Cricetulus griseus: one gene and its partner. The protein of the gene in region 1 interacts with the protein of each later gene in a pairwise test. Links are inferred from orthologs where the notes say so. Each region holds a gene or a part of one and is shown on either strand. Other genes may lie near its edges.

Region 1 (4,132 bases):
ATGTGCTCCTACACAGTGAGTGGGTGGCTTATCGTTTCTAACACCATTCCTGATTGCTCTGTGCCTACGATTCACAAGCCACTGCTTTCTCTTAACTGTCTTTTTAAAATACTATGAGACAATTGATGTATCTCTTTGTATAATACTTGGAGTGTCCCGTCCCCTGTGTCGTGTGCTCCCCCCCCCCCCCCCCGCTCCAATCTTAAGTAGGAAGGTTGCTACCCACCTCGTCTTTTTAGGATTTGGCATCCTTTTTCTTTTGAGCCCCAGCATGCTCTTGCAGTGTATTGGCTGACCCTCAGTAGGCAGTAGGAGAGCTGATGGTCACCAGTGCTAATCACAGGCCAGTCAGGGGTTCTTCCTAGTGTAGAGAAATCACACCCAGAGACAAAACAACAATCAGTAAGTGTACAAGTTTATATTTTGATTTCGTAGATGTTGAGATTTTTCTGAGTTGATTGGAAGAAACAAAAACTCCCAAACAAACAGCGTTGAAAGCTGAGCCGTGTGTGTTCAGAACTTGACATGGTTGGGCTCTTGCCAACCAGAGATGGGATGCCATATCCCACCCACTGTGCAGATGACTGGGTGACTCCCAGCAGTGACTCTGGCTCCTTTGTCCTTTTCCAGCTTTAACCGGATTGACATCCCGCCCTATGAGTCCTATGAGAAGCTCTATGAGAAGCTGCTCACAGCTGTGGAGGAGACCTGTGGCTTTGCTGTGGAGTGAGGAGTGGCCAGGGGCAGCAGAGTCTCCTTCACAACCACCAGACCCAAAGCATATGGCGTCTGCACGCCTCCCGCATGGCGGGCTGAGGCCTGAGATCCCAGAAACCTGAGGGAAAAGGCTCGTCTCCCTCCTCCTTTGGGGAGGGCAGGCCAGGGGACTTTCATAGGTGGCTCCCACCCATTTATCCCTCCTTTATTATAGTTTGCCCACCCCTCCATGACTCATCCACTGAAACTCAGCCAGGTTTTGCCCTCAGCCTCCTTGGCATGGTGGAAAGGCTGTGGGAGCATCAACCCATGGTCAGGCCAAGCTGGGCCCCTGAGGGTCTGCATGGTCTCTGTACCAGCGCTCTCGGTGTAGCCTCAAGGCCCTTTTCAAGTTCAGCAGCTGCCGATAGCTTACTAAGTTCAAATTCTAGATGTCCAGCTAGCAGCCTGTTCCAGATAGCAGGTGGATTTCTAAGCAGGAAATAACTGCAATGTATGCTTGCTAGATTCCACCCAGGCAGGAAGCTCAAGGCAGGATGTATTTCCCCTCTGAGAGATAAAGGAATTGGATCCAGCAGCCTTCACTGGAGGCCCAGGGTATTTTTCAGGGTATCCTGGTTGAAAAGATGGTTTTGCACAAGGGGGAACAATCTTTAAAGTCCCATTTGCTATGTTCTCTACCCAGTTTGAAATTCTCACATGTCATGGAGCTAATCAAAGAATGGCCAAAACCAGGCTCAGATCCCCCCCGGGTCCAGCTGACTCCTGTGCCAGGGACTGGAGGCTCCTGACTGTCTTGAAATGTTAATGGACTTTTATATGGGGATTGCTAAGAGCTAAACTAACAGAACAATTTTGTCACCACAGCCACTGGGTGGGACAGCAGGAGGCCGCTGACCTGGGGTCCCCTGATGTAGCTTCCCAGGGTTGGTGCTATGCACAAAGCAGGTTGTGATGGAGCCTGTGGTAACAGGGTGGGGGCTTTACCTCCCTACATGGCCCTCTTCCCCCGTGGCAATGGTGATGCTAACAGTTCTACTCAATTTGCTTGCTCAGTTTTCATCTTCTGATGAGCAAGGCCAAAGCCAGCCTAACGCCATGTCTCTAACACCATTTCCAGTTTGCACAAGTGTTCAGAAGCGGTGACTCTTTTGATAGAGGGGCTGGATTCAGGCAGCTGCACTCTGGTAGAAGCAGAGCAGCAGCCAATTTTCCATGTGTGGTTTTGTCATTTTTGTTTGCGGTAGGGGCGAGAACAGGGTAATTCATTAGCAAGACATTTCATTGGTACCGGGGTTCAGGTTCAGCCATGAGTTGGAGTTGGATGTGGGATATGAGGAAGGCCCTCTTGGGCCACTGGCTTTTGTGTTCTTTTCATTGCTTACCCTCAGCCTGGGCATGGGAAAGTGACTTCCCTGCTGCTCCTGATGCTTCTGTCCAGCTTGCTCTGGGAGCAGCTCCAAAGTGACTGGGGGAGGCTGGATTCACAGGTCATACGCACTCTACCCCAAGAGGTTTGCCAGCTTGGTAGCCACTGATACCACAGAGTGTGAGTCAGCCATACTCTAGGTTTCAAGGTTTGGAGACAGGAAGACCTCACTGCACAAAAACCGAACCCGTCCCGCCATCCAGGCCAGACTGGGGCCTTATCAGTCTCAATTTTCTGCCTTGCCCCAGTAGGGCTTCTGTATTTCATCTACCTTAACACTTCTGGGGGCATTCTAAAAGCCGGCTCCCTCATGACCCGGAGTATTGAGGAAGCCTGTGCCCTAAGCCACAGCCAGTCCGTGGAAACCAGCCAGAGCCTGCAGAGTGACACTTTGGAGACTGGAAACCTGCCTGTTGCTTTTGCACTGTGCCAGTCTGCATTGATGAAGGAAAGCAGGGTTACATTGGGAGTGATAAGGGACAAGCCTTAGGAGTCCCGGGTCAGGTGTCCTGAGGAAGATCCAGAGGTTGGGCCCTTGGGCTGACTGTAGTAGGCACACAGACCACCTCTAAGTCTGCTTGCATTGCCTGTGGGTTCCCCCATTGCCAGTTCTGAGTGTCGCAGCTTCCCCCGGGTGCATCTGTCTGCGCAGCACCGTCCTCTGTTGGTACCGCTGCACCTCCTTGTCTGTCTACCATGGTTAGGCCCTTCTGAAACACCTCAAAGGACACTGCGTGGCCGGCCCACGGCTAAGCTCCTGGTTGCCCTACTTTGGGTCTGGATGAAGCCCTTTCGTGTAAGATCTCGATTGTCACCCCTCCTGGTGGCCCTAAACGATCCACCGTCACCACATCACCCAGATGCTTCAGGAGCCCGGCTCTCCAGGCTACCCTCACCAGCGGCCAGCAGCCACACTCAGGGACGCAGCAAACACCACTCTGCTTCGCAGCGCTTCAGAGGAAGCGCAGGCTGCAGCAATGGGATGGCAGCGGTTCACGGGTCGCGATCTCCTGCTTTCTGTTAGGAGAGTCTGCCCTGCCACAAGATGGGATGTGGGGATGCTGACACCTACACTGGCTTGGCCACATGGTCAAGTTCAGGATAGGCGGACCCTGGACTGACCTTCTGCAGAGAAAACACCCCGCCCTACTGCAGCCAGGTGGGGGCCACATGACAGCCTTCTCAAACAGTGTGGGTTTTTCAAATGTGTTTATAATGTATTCTAATTTATTTTGTAAGGTCCTGTTTGAAGTGCTGCTGCTACCCTAGTTGCTCTCCCAGTTTTTATCGCCCATTTACTTGTGACAGTTGTACACTAATGTTCTGTTTTATGTCTGAATTGAAAGTATTTAAAGAAATGCTAGTTCTATTTAATGCAGTTGTGGAACCAGCTGGAAACACAAAACATTGACTGTAGAGCAGGCTGGACCCGGGAGGTCAGGTTCATTTTGTTACATATGCAATAAACTCACAACTTTACATTTTCTTTTGGCATCTGTTACTTTGATGTGGTAACAAGATTTGGATGTATTTAACCTAGCTTCACCAGCAATGAAGTTCAGCCTCCAAGGAAAAGAGGCAAAGCTAGGACTTTGGGGAAAACAAATGGAAATACCAGTGCTTAAACAGTCTTAGTGTATCCGTCAATCTGTCCCTGACACCTTGGACTTGAGGTGGGAGCATTGTGCCTTCCCTGGGGCTCTGTCCACCTCACCAGGTGGTTAGCTAATTCCTTGCACACTCTCTCTGCTTTTGGTTATTTTGAGTAAGACTGCTCAGAATTTGCATGCACAAACTTCTGTTGGACTCTATTACAATCTACAGAAATCCTGGGTCACCATGCCCTGGGTTAACTTTTTGAGGGCCCTTCCTGCTGCAGGTGCTTCTCAGAAAACTATGACATTCCATCGTTGTAAACTTCTCTCAAGTCAAAAATACCATTTACTCACCTCTGAGGTGATGCTGTATCTCCTCACAGCATCCTGA
Region 2 (3,572 bases), on another chromosome or scaffold:
AGAACCGAATCCCAAAAGTTGTCCTCTGACCTCCACATGTATACTATGGCATACACACACACACACACACACACACACACAACACACACACACACACACACACACACACACACACGCAATAAATGAATAAATATATGTAATGCTTTTTATTTTAAAATTCTATTATAAAGATAAATAGTAATCTAGCCTAGGACCAGGGCTTCTCTTGGCTGCCTTTCTCCAGCTTGAGCTGTTTGAGAGGCAGCAAATGGATTCAGCTCTTTTAGCTTTCTGACCATGATGGGGTTCTGCACCCAGTACGCAGGAACAAGGGAAGAAGCTAAGCACGGTGTAGAGCCCACATTCTGTCATTATAGAAGGTTCTACACCTGCCTCATAGTGAAGAGAACAGAGTCCCAGAAGCTGGAGTATGATGGATGTCTCTGCTCTCAGGTGGGCAAACACTACCTGCGACTTGCCAATGACGCAGATGAAGAACTCAACAGCTGCTCAGCCGTGGCCTGGCTAATCCTGGCAGCCAAGCAGGGCAGGCGGGAAGCTGTGAAGCTACTGAGGCGGTGCCTGGCTGACAGGAAAGGTGAGGCTGTATGAGTCCCTTAGCCACTGCCTGCAGGGTAAGCAGTTTACAGTGCTGGCCATGCTGTTGGGAAGGGAGAGGTCTTTTTGGTCACCTCCTCACCCTGAGAGATTTTTGAAATCTTCCAGGTACTTCACATGCCAGGCCAATTCCTTGTCCTGTGCTTAGGGTCTGCAGGTAGTAATTAACTAGTCCCACTTCCTTTCTGGGTTCTAGTCCAAATTGGGAAGTAAATCTTAGAGTCAGAAGAAGGCAGTTGTCCCAAGGGCCCCAGAGTATAAGTGTCCTGTAGGTTCCAAGTCTGAGGAAGGTAACACAGGTGCTTCACTGAGTTTTTGTTGTGGTTGTGAATTTTGATATTGATTTTTAATTGTAAATTTTTATGCTTGCTGTATAAAACTTGCAATATATTGAAGTCACAAGGATACAGTTACTCATAACCAAAGCCCAGGGAGACATGCTGTATATATCAGTGTTTTCAAGGTTTCATTTAGTATATGGAATCTTTTCTCTTTGACAACTAGACTGGTCATTTGGGGGAGAAACAAAACAAGAATGGTTTTCCCATTTTATTCTGTCAGCCAAGGTATCTTAGCTCATCTGCCCAGACCACAGGAGGTAGAGTAACCTAGGGCTGGCCAGGTTAGGGGAGAGCAACCCACATGACTGTGGTCTGGAACCATTGTTTCCCAGGGCTGCCTAGGAACAGAGGCAGGCACACAGCCCTGGAGGGTGGGAAGGAGAGGCAGCACAGGCTCCCCTGCTCTGCCCTGCCCTGCCCTGCCCTGCATTGCTCCCCCAAGATTCCTGGGCAGATAAAAAGTCCAGTCCTCCTGAGAGAGGTGATGTCTATTTGCACTGGGGCCCTGTCTTTGCTCACCTCACTCCTCTGGGCCACCTGGCATTCTTTCTTCTGTGTAGAAGAATCCGTGTTCCCAGATGCCCAGCCCAGGAAACACTGTGGGCATGAGTATGTCCCCTTCTTGCCACAGTTTCACTTGTAATTGCAGCAAGTCTGACCCAGATTCTAGGTGGCTTGTTCCTCTTCAGACTTGGGCCCACAGCACCTTGCTTTGTGCCTTGTCCCTATTGTAGTACCTGCTGATGAGGGTTCCCTGAGGACGAGGTGTGAGAGGGAACAAGCCAGGAAGGGCTGCCGGCCCTGTGTTCCAGTGGACACCCAGGCATTGCCAGACTGCCTGACCTCCAATCTGGAGCATGGGTGATGTCGGGGATAGGCTCAGATGCACTTTGGGGGCAGGTATCAACTCGACTCTGAGTCAAGGAAGCCAGTCAGATCCCTCATGACCCTGTACGAGTGTCCCTGGGGGCTGCTGTGGGACATGGCTTTGCCTAATGCTTCTGTCTGTCAGGCATCACTTCTGAGAACGAGGCTGAGGTGAAGCAGCTGTCCTCTGAGACTGACCTGGAGAGGGCCGTGCGCAAGGCTGCCCTGGTCATGTACTGGAAACTCAACCCCAAGAAGAAGAAGCAGGTGGCTGTGTCCGAGCTGCTGGAAAATGTCGGGCAGGTCAATGAGCAGGGTAGGCCAGCCACATCACCAACAACCAGCCTCCCCTTGGCTTCCCTATGGGGATTGGGGTCCTGTGGTTAGGAGGTGACTGGCATGTTGGCAAAGACTGTAAATACCATTTATTGTTCATTTATTGATTGAAGTATATTCCGGGATGCTTCTGATTCAAGGACCAGAGATACAGGGAGTAACAGGAGCCTGGTACTCACCCCCAGGGAGCTGACTAGTTGGCTGAAGATGGTGCAGTGCCAGCCAAAGGGGAAGGGTGGGAGGGGTGTGTTTCATCACTGAGTAGAAACCACACTGAGCATACTGGTCCTCCTTGTGGGAAGGTTCCGAGATGGCTACCCAGGGATATGACCCTTGCATATGATGGGGTCCCAAGCCCTGTGATCCCTGAGCACTGTGACAGCCCAGGATCCTGAGGATGTATGCCTGGTGGGCTATGACAACTCGGCAGCCCCAGCTTCCAATCCTCTCTGATCCTACAGATGGAGGGGCACAGCCAGGCCCGGTCCCCAAGTCCCTGCAGAAGCAGAGGCGCATGCTGGAGCGCCTAGTCAGCAGTGAATGTGAGTATGAATGCCCATCCTGCTCTCCACTGTCTGCCTCCCATACACCATCCAGCACAGCATCCACTCTTTCCTGTGCATCCTAGCCTGGGTCTCCCACCAGAGTCTCTGGCTTAAATGGACTTTTGTTCAGTCCCTTTGAGTGGCAGTGTTTTTGTTTCTGGAACCTGAGCCTTGTTCAATGGGAGCTCAGACTACAGCAGGAAACAGACCTACAGTGTGACAGTCCTCACCAGGTGAAGGCCAGAGTCAGGGTTGGTGCCTGGGTGGGCAGAAAGTTCAGTGAGGGAGATGGCTCTGACTGGGAGTGTGTGTATGTATGGGGGGTCCCAGTGTGGGCACTTATGTTGAGGCAGAAATAGGGTGTTATATCATCCATGTGGGATGGGAGAGAGGCTGGGGCACACAGAACTGGAGGTGCTCTTGAAATGTCTGAGGTCAGAGAATTAGAAGACACCAGACCATCACTCCGTGTGTAGAGGGAGGAAGGGGTGAAATCTGTAGTTCAAGGGCCCCAGGCTCCTATCCTGGAGAAGATGGACATGTCAGGGAGGGGGCTTAGGGCTTCTTGGGGCTTCTCATCACTGATAGAGCTGAGTCAAGAGCCTCCTTGTGAAGCCCAGTGGGTGGGACAGGGGTTCAAAGTTGTGTCTTGTCATATTAACTCATGAATGCAGCCTCCCCAGCTAGCCCAGTCAGAACTTCCAACATGACCATTGCTCTTGGTGACTCTGCCAGTATCTACCATTTGTCTTCCCTGGAGGCTGGGAGTCCAGCCTTTGACACATGCTGCATTTCTTTTACCTGTCCCCAGTGTTTCCCAGAGCTCAACAAAGCACAGTGCACAGCAGGCTCTTGGCAAACACAGGTGGGATATAGAGGTTGACAG

Evidence for each region. The genes of interacting proteins can lie anywhere in the genome.
Region 2: the proteins of Smurf1 (region 1) and Wfs1 interact in binary tests that used the Homo sapiens proteins (3 or more experiments, as listed by UniProt). The link is inferred for Cricetulus griseus from reciprocal best matches to the Homo sapiens genes SMURF1 and WFS1.

The regions. Positions count from the first base shown.
Region 1 is NC_048597.1:81,285,065-81,289,196, reverse strand, and holds the end of Smurf1 (E3 ubiquitin-protein ligase SMURF1), read left to right. Parts: intron 1-630; coding exon 631-730; 3' UTR 731-3,632; downstream 3,633-4,132. UniProt on the Homo sapiens protein: E3 ubiquitin-protein ligase that acts as a negative regulator of BMP signaling pathway. Mediates ubiquitination and degradation of SMAD1 and SMAD5, 2 receptor-regulated SMADs specific for the BMP pathway.
Region 2 is NW_023276807.1:105,936,598-105,940,169, reverse strand, and holds part of Wfs1 (wolframin), read left to right. Parts: intron 1-432; coding exon 433-577; intron 578-1,950; coding exon 1,951-2,121; intron 2,122-2,602; coding exon 2,603-2,683; intron 2,684-3,572. UniProt on the Homo sapiens protein: Participates in the regulation of cellular Ca(2+) homeostasis, at least partly, by modulating the filling state of the endoplasmic reticulum Ca(2+) store.